Linked DNA regions of Rhinolophus ferrumequinum. The protein of the gene in region 1 binds, or shares a complex with, the protein of each later gene. Links are inferred from orthologs where the notes say so. Each region holds a gene or a part of one and is shown on either strand. Other genes may lie near its edges.

Evidence for each region. The genes of interacting proteins can lie anywhere in the genome.
Region 2: the proteins of RAI2 (region 1) and CTBP1 are in contact, whole or in part, in a cryo-EM structure (PDB 8ARI), measured with the Homo sapiens proteins. The link is inferred for Rhinolophus ferrumequinum from reciprocal best matches to the Homo sapiens genes RAI2 and CTBP1. Residues at the interface, in NP_001166210.2 of Homo sapiens: Glu315, Ala316, Leu317, Asp318, Leu319, Ser320, Met321, Lys322, Trp326; in NP_001319.1 of Homo sapiens: Arg36, Cys38, Met42, Val51, Ala52, Phe53, Cys54, Asp55, Gln57, Gln60, Glu61, His63, Val66.

The regions. Positions count from the first base shown.
Region 1 is NC_046284.1:113,086,727-113,094,579, reverse strand, and holds the start of RAI2 (retinoic acid-induced protein 2), read right to left. Parts: upstream 3,019-7,853; 5' UTR 2,779-3,018; intron 2,508-2,778; exon of another isoform or gene 2,190-2,507; intron 1-2,189.
Region 2 is NC_046288.1:87,554,578-87,562,065, reverse strand, and holds the start of CTBP1 (C-terminal-binding protein 1), read right to left. Parts: upstream 3,004-7,488; 5' UTR 2,895-3,003; coding exon 2,855-2,894; intron 1-2,854. UniProt on the Homo sapiens protein: Corepressor targeting diverse transcription regulators such as GLIS2 or BCL6. Has dehydrogenase activity. Involved in controlling the equilibrium between tubular and stacked structures in the Golgi complex.

The DNA.
Region 1 (7,853 bases):
CAATTTATTTCCCTGCACTACCCTCCTTCCCCAAATCTAAGGTTAGAGAAGGAGCAAGAGAATAGACACTTGGTATTTCTGACTGGAGACTCAGAGCACACTGTATGTGACTATCTCCACATCCAGAATATCTCCATGCTGGGTCCAATGGATTGGGGGAGGCCAGTCTCATCCAGTTCTCTGGTCATTGGAACTAGTGCTGTAGCTCTCTCTCGGTGCTATGGCACTCCCAGCGACACCTCCTCAACGCCTCCCGTCCTTTTCTTTTTCTTTCCTGCCTTTCAGAGGCCTCATCTTGGAGGCTGGTTTTTGGGCTACCAGACGTTTTATTTATTTTGCAGTGCTTACCCAACTGCCCACCAACCAAGTTCTCACACTGGCAACTGGCATCACGGGGAAAGCTGTTTTCGCTTTTAATCCCGAGATGGGCAGGTTTTCCTGGGCGGAACTTCACTGCTGGAGGTCGGGGGCTTCTTTACGTTATAAAGGCTCCCCAGCCAGGGCTGAGCGGTGCTGGTGCCAAAGCAGCCAGTATCCCAAGTTCCAGTCTCATTTGGTTCACTGTGCCCTGGCCGCCTTGCTGACGCCTCTAGTGGGTATCTTATAGGATGAAACGAAAGTGCCCATTTGGAAGATATTGTGTATGTGTGTGTGGGGGAGGGGGGTGCGGCAGTAGACGGCCTCTCTGGGCTTCTCAGAGGCAGAGAAACTGGGATGCCACCGGGCTTATGAATGTGCACCTTGCAGCCCATCCCCAGCTTCTGAAAGTGGCACAGCTCCCCATGTTCCCTTTTGAGAAGAAAACAAGTGGGTGGGGGCATAATGCTGCTCCCGCGCAAGCAGTTCCCACCCACTGGCCTCCCCACTGTCCTCTACCCACACTGGAACCCGTCTACTGTAACAAAGGCACATCACCACACATTTTCAAAGTTATCAGAAGTCTCTTGGTCAAGCAACAACCAATTCTGATTACTCCAAAGGAAGAAGAGGGACATTTAGAAAACGGTGGGAAAGATCCCCTGGGAAAAGCCCAGCAAACCTTGCCCTATGCACGCAAGGCTAAGAATTGCTTTCTCCCTGCTGGCTGCTTTTCTCTCTGTTCTAAAGAGAAGCTTCCAAGACTCAGCTAAATAAAGGGATCACACCAGAGGAGGAGAGAGAATGCTAAACCAACAAAAACAAAGACTCAAATGAAACAGAGCGAGCCATGAGAATTCGCGGTTATCAAAACTTTGTTTGGCCGTATCTATTTATCATCGCTGCACACCCGGGCTCTGCGGAATATCATTCTGTTGATGTCACTTATCCTCAGCAAAATATTTACACATCCTTAAAAACGCCAGATGAGGGGGGCCAGCCCGCGCACTGCCGCAAGCTGCCCCTCAAGCACCGTCGCCGAGTTCGGGGCGGACGGTGAGGTGGTGGGGCAAGACTAAGGGTGGCTCCGCCAGCACAGGTAAGAGCTATGGATAGTTCCCGGAACGCGGCCACCCCGGCGCTGCGCCCTGCCCTGCCCACCTCTCCCCCACCTGACTCTGCTAGAAGCAGCCACATCCCCGATATGGTGTCTGCGCCTCCTCCGTCTCCCCCTGCCTTTCTCATTGATTAAGTTCTCAAACCATTGTTAAAGCCGGGTTGCTTTTCCCTGGAAAACTGGGCTGAATTCATTAAGCTTCACCGTGCCACAAAAGGAATATTCATAAAAGTTTGGCAGGCAGAAAAGGAGGTTGACTGCGTGCCACGGGGTGGGTGACAATTCGCTTCTCCAAAGCCACCTTCTTCTTCCGTGCCCCATCCCTCTCTCCATCCATCCGTCGTGCCCCAAACCTACTCCAGGGACTTCTGATAGGGAAACACAAAGCAGCAGCTGTTTGGCAACATTTCTACCCCTCGCCGGCAACTGTGGTGGGATGCCATTTCCCCACCCAGGCGGAGCATATCCGGAACAATAGTCGGGCTTTAAACGGCAAACAAGCAAACACACAGAGCACAACCCCAACCCCGAAAAAGCCAACGCGGCGACAAGCAATAACTCCCTCCGCAGCAAAAGACATCGCGGAAACGCACGCAAAAATGCAGCGAGAACGCTGCTCGGTGCCTAACATGGCAGAAAGCCTGAGCCGCTGCGGCCACCCTGGGTCTGAACATTGGGGGGCACGAGGGCGTTCGGGGCGCCGACGCACACTCACCCGGCTCCAGGAGGTTGCGGGGCTGGCCGAGCGTCACAAAGGCGAGCCCAACGCGATCTGGCAAAACCCAACTTTCCACCCGGCTCTCCAGGGCCGCCAGATACGTCAACAGAATCCATCTTTCGAAGGGCCTGGAAGGCGCCGGGTTTTCCGGGCCGGGGCAGAGCGGCAGAGCCAGAGGCGGCCCCGTGCGGTGCCCAGGCGCGGAGTCTGCCGCGCGCCGCCCTCTGCGCCGGGTGCCAGCGCTGGTGGCGGCCCGAAACCCACTTCGGGGCCCCCGCCCCGCCGGCCGGCGCCGCCTCCCCGGCCGTCCCCGGCCCCGCCGGCCAGTGCGCGGCGCCGGGAGCGGGAGCGGGACCCGGGGACGCCGCACGGGTGGCGGCCTCAGCCTGTGCGTCCCCGCCCCCGCCCGGCCCTCCCCGCTGGCCCCGGCCTCCGGGCGCCGTCCTGCCCCCAGGAGCAGGCCCCTCCCCGGGCGCCGGGCCCTGCCAGGCGCGCCCAGCGCGGCGCGCCCCCTGCGTCCAGTGGCAGGTCCGCCCGGGGAGGGCGGGGGGGACCCCGACCCGTAGTGGGGCTCCGCGGCCGGTACCTCGCAGTCGCAGCCGCCGCCTCCAGGAAGCCGCAGGGTGGTCGCGGGTGCGGGAACTCTCGGGTCCGGCCTCGCCGCCGGCCGCCTGAAGAGGATGCGCAGCGGTGGGAGCCGCCGTCGCCGCTGTCACGGAGCTGCTGTCGCCGCCGCCGCTGCCGGTTGTGCGTGAGCGTGTGTGCGCCTGTGTCCGGGCGAGTGTGTGTCTGCGTGCGGAGCCCAGCCTTTACTATATACACCAAGGGGTGGGAGGAGGCGGGGCAGGGGAGGGCTTGGGGGAGGTGGCGGAGGAGGGGGAGTAGAAGGGGGGCGAAAGGGTACCCGAGGAGGCGGTGGCGGAGGAGGGACAGGTGATCTCGCCCACGGGGAGGGCGTGGTTGTAGGAGGCGAGGGGTGGCTGGTGGAAGGGGCACCCGGGGCGCGGGGTGCCGGGTGGGGGTGGTGAGACGCCTGGGAGGGCCGGCGGGCTAGGACCATTCCAGATCCCAGGATGGAGAGGAGTGAGAACAGAGCCCAGGAGGGAGAAAGTGGCTGGCTGATGGAGGCCGGAGAGGTGGGAAGGGCCCAGGGATCACCTCCTAAAATGTCAATTGTCATACATGTCCAAGATCCTTCTCACGAAGTGTGAGATTATTAGAGACAAAATTAGTCCACGGACAATAATCTCATTTCCACGTAATTGTTTGAGAGGTGATTCATTTATGAATCTAACATTTATTAAGCCCCTACTGTTTCCCAGACACAGGGCTAAGAACTGGAGTTACAGACAGAGATGATGAATATATGGTTTACTAACCAGTAAATAAATCATAGGTATCAGCAGTACTATTGATCATTTTAAAACAAAATAAAAAACCTAAATCCTATAAATGTTTTAAGACAGCAAAGGAAGCAACTACATTGGTTTAATTGATCCCCAAAGATGTAGATTTGTTTCCTGCTAATCAAAACAGGATGAAGATATTTGAGAGAACAGCAGAGCAGACATGACTTTAATCGGAGCAGAAAGCAGTCTGAATCTACCTGTCCTTTGCATGTTCATATGTCCTTTAATCCCAACACTGAGTGGTAACCATGATATCCCTCTTGTATTATAGAATTTGGGGTGGCCGACCAGAGTGTGAAATACATAGAGAGAAGCCTGGTTAAGTTTATAATTTGTATGGGAAGCTGAACTTGTGTTTGAAAGGTTCTGTTTGAACCTTGCTGTTTTATAAGCATAATATGGTAGAAAGCAGGGCCACATTATGATTTTCGTGGGCACGTTGCCTTTGTGGATGCGTTCCTCCATTAAAAAAATAGTAAAGATTACATTTTTCAATTGCATTAGTGTAAAGACGAATATATTAACATGATATACTAAAACATTTTCTTCTACTTAAAAGATCACTTTTTCTTCTGATTTTAAAAGAAATTAAAACATGTCCGTGGGCCCCTAAAAGGACTGTGGGCCCCAGGCACTGTGCCTACTGCCGCTAACAGAGAAGTCAGCCCTGGTGGTACTATTCCTTGATACAGAATTTCCTCTTGAAAAAAAGAGTTAATTTAAGAAGTGCCCAATCAACATAAGGGCAGAAAGACACACAGTTCAAGTTTAAGAATTGATAATAATGAACATCAACAGAAGGTACCACATCCTACTTGTTTCAATCAGGCTCTTGGGGTTTTAAATCAGCTCTGAGTAACTAATGATACCAATGGAAATATTTGTCTGTTATATGTCTTCAACCACTTCGGTAACCAAAGACTTCCTCTATGGCTCTCATAACTGTTCTGAGCCCTTGGATCAGGTATGTGAGGGCTCCGTCGCCAGGACCTAGCCTGAATACAACTAAAGACACAGCTGGGTAATTATAATGGGACAAGTTCATGGATGAAAGATTCATAAAGGTTTTGTGTGTGTTGAGGGGGTATGTGTGTATACGGTAGGGACTGATATCCTGGAAGGCAATTACTAGCCTATTTCTTTTGTTGGCCTCATCACAACCCTGGGTTAATGTTTGATCCTCGCTGGCAGTTGTGATTCATATTTGCTGCCCTTTGAGGTGCTTATGTTTTGAGGAAAGACTATATTGATTCAGATTAATGCATAATAAACAGGCATCATGGCCCCTATTCCCAAAGAAATGTACAGTGGCACCCCTCTGTATTTTCATCGTGACAACCCTTGCAGAGGGAAGGGGAAAAGAGGAGTCCATAAAGAAAGGGTCTGGATTGGGAGGGAGATGTTTTCAGACAGAAATAGGACATGGAAAAATTGTATTTACACAGTTTTAAGGGATGCCTAAGAAAATGGAGGGAAGAAAGGACATCCCAAACAGCAGGAAAGAACCACAGACAAACAAATAAACAAACAAAAACTTCATTGCTCAGGTTGATTTTTGAGATTTTTAATTCTAATATTTGGACTCAAGAAATTTCCTATCTCAGATCTGATTCTTTTGTCTCTGTCCTATTTCTCTAATACAGCATCGCCTCCTAATCTAGTTTTTGCATACTTGCCAGATGTGTGATTCATTCATTTATCCAATGAACATCTATTAAGCACCTGATGTATGCCAGTCACTGAGCTAAGGACTATGGTTAGGGAGATGTTTAACATAGGGTTGCTGACCCCAAGGAGCTCACAGTCCAGTAAATAAAGTGTTAATAATACTATGGAGACTGTGTGGTACATGAAGAGTTATAAAATCAGCCAGGTGAACACCGAAGAAGTGGGCCTACCCTTGTACTGAGAAGGCATAGGGAATGGCATGGGGCAGGGCAGTCAGAAAAGATTGCACAGAGATGGTGACAAGAGCTGAGCATTGAGAGATGAACAGGAGTTTTTCAAAGTTAAGGGAAAGGCATTACAAGTGACGGGAACAGCAGGCACCAATGCTTGGATGCAAAGCACTTTCTGGAGGCTGCAAATATTTTGTGAAGGTAGAGTAGAGGCTGTGAAGAATAGTAGTAGGGGGTGCAGAGGTAGGTAGGAGTCAGTTGAGGTCCCTGGTCTGTCCTGTAAAGGAGTTTTTTCTTAAAGTCAATGGGGAGCCATTGACAGAGTTGAAGCAAGGGAGTGAGTGACCAGGAAAGATTCGGGTTGAGGAATGATCGCTCCCCTGGGGGGTGTGAAGGGCTGATTGGAGAGGGTAAGCTTGGAAGCAGGGAGACCAGGTGAGAGAGATTTTGTCAATGATCAGAGTTGGAGTGAAGGTAGTGACAGCAGAGATGAAGGGTCAGAACTTAAGTGGTACTCAGGAAATAAAATCAACAGGACTTAATGATGGAGGAAACAGGAAGGATTAGAATGACTGACGCCTGGCTTTCTGAATTGGGTAACAGGGGGGTGGGGTGTGGCCACTGAGATAGGGGTCCCTAGGAAGAGAAGCAGATTTGGGACTGGAAATGATGAATGCCATAGATTCCCCCAGAAGCAGATCCTGAGATAAGGATTTGAGTGCAGAAAGTTGATTTGGAAGGTGAAGGAAACACTGGTAGGGTAATGGGGAAGGGAGACAGGGGGGCAGCAGACAATAGGGGGAATGTTTTCACGGCCCATTACTACCATGAGCAAGTGGAGCTTAATCTCGCAAGCAAACTCTTGGACACGATGCAAAACATGCACTCCAGAATTGTCCCACTCAAGAAGTGAGGAAGCTGGTTGAGGGCTGCCCAGAGGATGCTAATTTTCTGGGAATTTCAACTTGCCACCTGGCATAGGCAGAGAGTCCTTCTCAGATATCGGGAGAGGATCCTGGCTGGCAGCTTGGAGGTCTGTGGAACACACTGAAATGGTAGCATCCGAGGGATGTGGGTAGAGCACTGTCAGTGTTTGCTCCAGGGAATTCTGATTAGGACATTTTGAGTTGGAAGTGCCTGTTGGGTAGCCACAGAGAGAAGTCCAGTAGGCATTTGCAAGAGCAGATGTGGAGGTCAAAATCTAAGCTGGAGACCTAGATTTGGGAGTTGTTGGGCCATGGGTGTTTGTTGAACCAGTCAGTGGGTGTGGATGAGCTCTGCAGAAGACATATGTGACTTAAGTTGATGGCTGAGCCCGTCACCCTGGGCCATGACAACATGATTTGATCTTATCTGCACGAACATCATTGCCAATTTCTCTAGGAGTTCCTGGAAGCCCTGAAGTTGTAATGCCAATTTAGGGCTCATGGGTATGAATGTGTCTGGGGAAAAGCGTCTGTTGCTTTCAGGAAATTCTTAAAGGGTCTGTATTTCACTAAAGTTGAAAAAATTTGGTGGCCACTAATATTTACTGGATGACTGAGTGACTGACTGAAGTGGGCATTTAAAAACATAATCACAATGCAAAGGGATAAATGCTGGGAAAATACAAGGGGTAATTAAATCACAGAGGATTGAAATGAAACCCAGGCTCAGGGAACAAGGATGGAAAGCATTCAGAGAAACAGGCCAGTGAGAATGACATTTTAACCTGAAGAATATTCAGAGTCCATGGGATAAGGGAAAGTTTTTGACAATTTTGATAGAACAGAGACTTCTAATGTGGTTGGCATGGGGGCTTCAATATTCTTCATTTGGAGACTTCATATGAACTGTATTATGTCCTGATTTTATCCAAAGTGTATAAAAGAATTCATATGAAATCTTCGCTAATTTTAGCAAAGATTGAATCAAAGGATATGTCAGTTCGTCCTTCAGTTAGGCAATCAACAAACATATCTCGAGCAGCTATTAATTTACAGTAGTAAATTAGTAGTACATGTGAGAACACACAGGGTAATAAAGTATCGGCCCTGCCCTACACTGGTCTCTCATAGTCCAATTGTAGCTCTGTCTAGTCTCATAATCAGGAAAGCATTTCATTTCAGAGAATTTTGGGAAATTGTCAAGAGTAAAAAATAGGTTCATTATAAATGGCTCCATTCTATATTCCCCATTCCTCTTTTTTAACAGAACCCCAGTGTTGTTCAGGTATCCATCCCTTTCCTACAAAAACATGCACTTTAGAATTTGATCGTAGCTTTAAGGTGGTGTCTGTTTGATCTGAAGCAGATGGCACCCCTCCTACTATAATTTGGAACAAGTAGACAACAGGAGAGATTTGCTGGGGGCAT
Region 2 (7,488 bases), on another chromosome or scaffold:
CTGCCCCACCATTAACTGGTCCGCTGGGATTCCTTCAGAAGGGTCCCAGGTTCCAGTCCCATCAGGTTGTCACCCTCCCCCACCCTGGCTCCAGGGCTGACAGGGGACACAAGGGACCACTTGCCTAAGGATGACATGGCAGACACAACAGCACTAAGAGCCACCCCTTGTCGTCCCGCGTGGTGACAGGCCCCTGAGTTTTCCAGGTCTGCAGGATTATGGATGTTTCCTCTCACAAGACCCGGGCCTATAGGGGCGGCCACAGGAGGCCCACGCTAGGGCGTGGCCCATGGGCTGGTCTGAAGCTCAGCTTCTGGAGGGGATGGTCCCTGCCCTGGGGTGTGAGTTCCTGTCCTGGGGGCAGGGCCACCCAGGGCTTTGAGCCAGGCGACCCACAGAGTGAGGGCCAGCAGTCCTCCTTCATGCCACCAGTGGGGAAACTGAGTCTTCTAGGAGAGCTGTTACCAGATAAAAAGCTCAGGACGCCACACCTCTGACGCCCCTGTCAGCCACAGGACCCACCTGGAAGGGGGTCTCGGCAACAGCAGGGCTGAGGCCAAAGGTGTCAGCACTGACGAGCTGGGCCCTGCTACTCAAACAGGACATCCCCAGCGCCTGCTCACACAGGAAACTCCAAGGACAGGTGACAAACCGTCAGCAGAGAAAAGTCCCATCAAGGCCCAACACTCTGCTTGGGGACTGCTGGCCCAAAGGAAGCCCCCACCAAGCACTGGTGGGGGGCCAAGGACAGACCTACCTCTGAACTCCAAAGGCCTTCTCCTACAGAGAGCTGCTCACTAGTGTCTGGGGTTGCTCAGAAAACATTTAAGGTCCCCCGATTATGTGACAGGAGCTCGCAAGGGTGGGTGGGCTCCACATGCTGGGGGCTGGCTTTCTGCTGAGTATGTTTTTATGCAAATGAAGTTGCTACTTTGAAGAGGAGAATGGAGGGGTCCTGGAGAATGGGGAGAAAAGGCCCTGGGCCCCCATTTGCGACCTGACCCTGCAGTTCAGTCAGCTCACCAGAGGAGAAGCAAGCTGTGCACCTCTCTGTGGTGGCGGTTCCCCTCCCCCAACCCGAAGGTCGGTCTGTCCTGACCTATCAGGGAGCATCACTGTGCAGGGTCTGGCTCCCTGCCAGGTTCCCGCGGCTTGGTCCCTTGGGGATCCCAGAGACAGCACCCTGGCTTCTCAGCAGGCAGGCAGAGGGCAGGCCTGGGCACCAGCCAGAGAAAGCTCCAGCCTCCAGCCACTGGCTCAGGTGCAGTCACAGCCCCTCCCTCCCACAGGCCCCCAGTGCCAAACTCTGTGGGCTCCAAGGGCACCGCGAGGGGCAGGGGGGCTGGGAAGAGGAAGCCAGGGGCTGACGGACCCGGCACAGGGTGCAGGAGAACGTGCAGACCGCACAGCCCCTCCCACGAGCAGGCCCCAGCCCACGCTGGCTGGAAGTTGACAAGGATTGCAGCACATGCAAGATGGCCACCGGCAGCCGGGCAGGATGCGAAAGCAGGCATGGGGCCACCATCAGGCCAGCTCCCAGCAGAGGGGGTCCCCAACCCAGCCTGCTCCCCCACAGGCCCAGGCCCTGGGCTCCCCTCCCCCGTGCTGCCCAGAGACCAGCGAGGACCCTTGTCTGACATCTTTCAAACACAAGGGGGGCAGGTGCCTTGTGACAAACAGAACTGGGTCCAAATCTCTTGAATTATTGAGGTGGAAACGACTGGCTCAAGGAAGGGAGTGCAGTGTGCTGAGTTCTGGCCGCACTGCTGTGTGGGGGCCCCTGGCCCCCCCTTTGTGACCACGAGGACGCCACAGGACTGTGCCCTAGCTGTCCCGCTGAAAGCCACCGAGGGAAGGGCTGCCCTCCCCACCAGCTAGACCTTATAATTTTATACATTTTTAGAAACGGACGGAACATCCCAAAGGCCGTACAGAGCCGGCTGCAGAAGCAAGCACCACTGAAACGCCTGCCGAGCGCCTGTCCCCACAGAAAACCCTCCAGCTTAAGGGCTTCGCCGTCCCAGGCAGATCCGCATCCTGGCCACCGGCTGGCGAGCAGACCCTGGCGGCCCCCGGCGCCTCCACAGGAGACAGGCCCGCGGAGCCCCCAAGGGCAGGGACAGAGCCCCCACTGGGCCAAAACGCAGTTCATCTTCAGGACACGCGAGAGCTTTTCATTTCTTTCAAAGCAAGTTGCGTGTAGTTGATCTCATCGTGCGCCACCCGAGTCTGTGACATTCCCCCGCCCGCTGAAGCCCTGGGGGAGTATTTACAACAGGAAGTGACTTAAACGAAGCAGCGGAGCCCGTCTCACTGACACAAGACCTGTGGCCCAAGCAGGACACACTGGGCCGAGGGCCCTCCCGCTGGGCACCGCACGTCTGAGGTCGGGGTCGAGCACCGGGGATCTGGGGAACCGGGCGTCTGGTGGGGGACCGGGAACCCGGGGCCTGGGATCTGGGGTCTGTGGGGCCGGGAGGTCCGGGGGAGTGGGACCCTCGGGTCCGCGGTCTGGGCACCGTGGGTCTGGGGAAGCCAGGATCCGGGGGTCCGACTGGGAGTCACGGAGCCAGAATGCGATAGGCCGGTGGGCCGAGGGTCCACAGGGTCGGGGTCCGGCGCCCCTTTGTGTCACCTGCGCGGGCGGCGGGCGTGACGGCGGCGCCGGCGCACGCGCACTCGCACACAGCAGCCCGCGCACGCGCTCGGAGCTCCCCGGCCCGGCCCCGCCCTCGGTCCCGCCCCCGGCCCGGCGGCGCGCGGACGCCGGCGCGCACGCGCACTCGCACACAAAGCCGGCGGCCCCGCCCGCCGCCCCGCCCCCGCGGCCGGAAATGCGCGCGCGCGGCCTTACCGAGCGGCAGGCCCTTGTTGAGCAAGTGCGAGCTGCCCATTGAAAGGCGCGGGCGGCCGCGGGCCTCGACGAGTCCGGCGCGCTCCGCCGCGAGCCCGGCGCCTGGGGCGGCCTGGGCGCCGTCCGCTGATCTGCCCGCTCGCCTGCGCCCGGGCGCCGCCGTGCCGAGCAGCGCCGCGCCGCGCCAGCAGCCGCTCCACCGGGCGGGCGGGGACAGGCGCGCGCGCGCGGGCGGGGCTTCCGGCCCAGCGGCCTCCTGTTTCCCGGCGCGGGCGCCGCGCAGCACCACGCGGGCGGCTGCAGGCCGCGCCCGCCCGCCCCGCCCGCCCCCTCCCGGAGCCAGGCTGCCCGCGCCGCACCTGCCCTGCACCAATATCTGCCAGGCCGGGCCTCGATGCTCACTCCCGCTGGCCGCGCCTGCCCCGCTCAGGCACCTGCACACCTGCCTGCCCCGCACACGCAGCCGCCGGGCTGCGCCTGCCCAGGCGAGGCGGCCTGGACAGGAAGTTCCTAGACGAGCTTTCCTAGTCTGCTGCAAGGGAACCAGCTCTGAGACACTGAAGCCAGAGCACACGGGCTTCCCAGGCCTGGGCTGGGGCTCTCGGAGAGGTGACCGGGGTGACTGAAGCGGAGTCCTCACCCCAGCCTGTTTGGACACCGACCCCAGCCCTAGAGAGTGACTGGTGCTTAGTTCCAGAAGTCCAGAGGGCACCCCGGCCCTCAAGGGAGTTTTCGGTCCCCAAGACGAGGTGATCCGTGATGCGGAGGAACCGCAGGCCAGAGCCGCAGGCCCAGGCACCCTGACGTCTGCGGTGGCCGGCACTGAGCTGTTGGTGCAGTTCTGCAGGCCGCGTGGCCACCCTGAAATCAGTCCTGTTGTCTTCGCTTTTATAATTCGTACATCAGTGAGGAAATGTGGGGGATCCAACAAAGGATGACGGAGAACTGGGTATCTACTTGGAAAACAAGTACTTTTAAACTCCCACTTAGTACTCACCTGTAAAAATACCTTCCAAATTGGATTAATTGGAACACATGGAGAAATGAGAAAGCGGGATGTAAGCATGTGGCAAACCTCTTAGGGAACTTTTCTGAATGCAGATTCAAAAGGAACCAGGAGGGAGAGATCAAAACTCCAGACCAGGGTGTGTGTCACCCCCCACCCCCATTTTCTCAGAAGATTACTCCCCAAACATTGGCCTGAGCCAGCTCCTGGCCCTCTTCCTGTCCTGCCTTAGCACCTCCTGTGCTGAGATCTAGGTTGCCCCTTGCTACCCGCTCTTGCCATCTCACAGCTGCCCAGAGCAGGCTCTCCCACATCATTTCACCCCTGTGACTGCTCCCAGAATGTAGATCAGACTGTGACCCCCTGCTCAAAACCCTTTAAGGATTCCCGTCGCACTACAGAGGAAATCCATGCTTCCTGTCACAGCCAGAGCCCCCACTCTTGCACCCTTCTCCCTCTAACCTCCCACTCTCCAGCCACATGGCCCTTCTTCCCGGCTGTCACAGGGCCACCACACACGCCATTTCTGCTGCCTTCCCCTGCTCTTCCCATGGCCACTTCCTCCTCCTTACCCTGTGTCCAGTACAGGGGTTTCCTCTCAGTCTGGGCTGTCTTCCTACCGCACTGCCCACTCCCGAGGACAGGGGTCTCTGTTCCCCCAGCCACATGTATTCCAGGTGGAAACCTGCTCGGTGGAGCCACAGGAAGGATCGATGCATGGCTCTGAGCAAGCCGTCCCGTGCATGCCTCCTCGGTCCTCCTGGCCAGCGGTGCCACAGCCTCTGGGACAGGACCGAGGGATCAGTTAGATACCGAGGGATCAGTTAGATACCCTTCCACTGTCCCCACACCTGTGTGTGTGGTCCTGAGGCCCCTGAATTCCCTTCAGAGAACTGGCCTGCAGACAGCCTGGGGCAGGCAGGTGAGTAGGCCAGGGGAAGCCCATCTCTGCCCTGCCTGACACCACTGAGCTGTCACCTCCTGGTGGAGCTGCCCCCTCCCAGGAGAGATCATCTGGAAGGAGCCCCCACCCTTTGGTCTTCAGCTGGACCTGGGTTTGTGCCCAGGAAGCGCCTGGTACCTGAGCTCTGCCTCCATGAAGCAAGCTCAGACTGTGGCCACAGAGTCTAGCCCACGACTACCGCGGTGTGCCTCTCCTTTCCAGAAGAGACCGGACCTTCCCTCCAGGTCACCAGAGGTGGTGTACCTGCATCCCCACTTCTTTCCTTAAGGAATGCGAGAATTTTTCCAACACCAGAAGTTAATATTTTTCTTTTCTCTCCGTGGAGAACTAGAGGTCCTTTGTCTTCTAGTCATTCTGGGTCGTCTGCAATGTTGTCCAGACAGCTGAACGGTTTGTAAGCCGGCAATCAGTGCGAGCTCATGCAGCGCTTCCACCCCATCAGCTGCTGTAAGACGCTAGTGCTGTTCGCTCAGTGGTTCTTGGGGGAGCGTCATGGCCACTGCAAAACAACCCGTCTCTCTTGTGGCGTTGAGAGGCGGCCTAGGATCCAGCTTGTCATTGAGTTGAAGTGGCACTGACAATGCTCGGACAAGGCACCCTTGCTGGCTTCCCACTGTCACCACCACCAAGGCCCAGGGTGTCCTGTGGGCCCACTGGCCCCCCTATGCTGGCTTGGGGCTGTGCTGAGAGGAGACCCCGGAGGGGTCATCTGAGCACTGGGGCTGACGGGCCTGACAGTGGGGCCCAGTGGGGTCGTGGAGGAGAGGACAGGCATGGAGTCCTGATGGGGGAGGGCCATACCTACAGAAGTCTGGGAAAAGAACATTCCAGAAAAGGGAGCAGCAAACTCAAAGTCCTGGCGTGGGTGCAAGGGACAGAGGGCTGCAGCTGGAGGAGATGGAGAGACAGCAGGGTCAGGGCCTTGGCTTCTATTCTTGGCTGCCAGAAGGGGTGATGTGAATGGTGGGGTGCACAGGGCAGAGACCCCACTTGGGAACCCCCCCTCCGGAAACGGTCAGCAGCAGCTGAAGGTGGCAGGGCCTGGAGGACTTGCCACCAGGCTGCAGGGGGCTGGGACAGAGGGGGCCTGGCCACTCCATTCTTCACAGCTAGAATCAGGCCATATGCTCCGTGCTGAGGGACCCGGGGCCGGTGGGTCAGCTGGGGAGAAACCCACAACTCACATTCTGACTTGTACTTGCTGAGCAGGAACGGCTGTCAGATGCCTGAGTGTGCAACAGATGGGACCACCTAGAAGCAGGGGACCTGGCCAGAATTCACACTTCTTCCATTGCACACGCAAGTTCATTCTGCAGCTGCAGTGGAGCTCCAAGGAATTTCACAGGTGCAACCAAGAGGGAGAGGTGACCGTGGCCAGGTACCCAGCACCTCCCTCAGCTCTGCCTCCCACAGCCTCACCATGCAGCCAGCCAGCAGGCCTCGTCACTGCTTCCCTGGCTCCTCTGGTGCCTGCACCACCTCCCGTCCCACTGTCCCCAAGCGCTGCTTTCCAGCACTGGGGCTGCAGCCCCAGAACTCTGTGTGCTCCCCACACGTGACTACAGCTGTGACTCCGAGACCCAGGCATGACCATATTGGCCACACTAGCGCCACAGCTCTCTGCAGGCACAGCTCTGCACCCGGCTTGCCCGCTGGGAGGCGCCAACAGCCGACCTGCATCTGTGCAGGTGGCCTGCTCATCCTCTTCCTGCACCTGGGGCCGGCCACGTGCCTGCAAACAGGTGCTCAGTGCCCACTTGCCCTGCCAAGGACGCAGCCAGCCCTCCAGCTGCTGGAGAGCCACCCAGCTCAGGAAGCCAGGCCCCGGTCACTGAGTGGTGTCGGCCTCAGCGCCACGCGGGACAAGCACATCCACAAAGAATCACTAACGCATTGGATGAACAAATGCTTCTTCCTGGGGCTCCACACATGGCTGTGAATTTAACTTGGTGTCTCCTGGGCTGGCCATGTGTGGGAGCAAAAGTCCGTTCCAAATCACTGCACGCAACGCCAGCCAGGAAGGTTGCTGTCCCCACTGGCCCAGGTGGGGACACCGGTTTTGGTGTGCAGACTGAGGACCAGAAACCCTGCACCCCCAAATTAAAGAACTCATCATTTTCAAGCACATGGAATGTTTACCAACGATGGCTACATGACACGGCCACAAAACCAGTCCCAGCAAAATACCAAAAACCTATATTGATCGTGTTCTCCAACCAAATGCAATGACAATAAAACTAAGATAATAGAACCAAACATTTGGAAATGTAGAGCCATAAACTATATTTGACTCATGCTTCAAAAAAATGAGTTTAAAGCATTTAGAAGCCGACAACAAAGAAACACTACATGGAAATGTCCACGGGGCAGCCAAGCCAGACTTGAGGGAGCTTCTGTCCTGGACGTGTGTGTGTGTGGACTGTGGGAGATAAGGAAGGTGGAAAGAGGCATCTCACGTCCAACTCAAGAAATGAGGAATTGCAGAGTAAACCCACGGAAAGAGAAAGGCTGAAACAAAGACATGATTGTGGATGAAAAGTTAGGGAGTAAAGCCCATGTTACCCAGGAGTCACAAGACCAAAAACTGGCTCTTTGGAAAGACGGGCGGCATGGGCCCCAGACACCACCCCCCACCACCCCTACCCCCCGCTGTTGCTCACACCT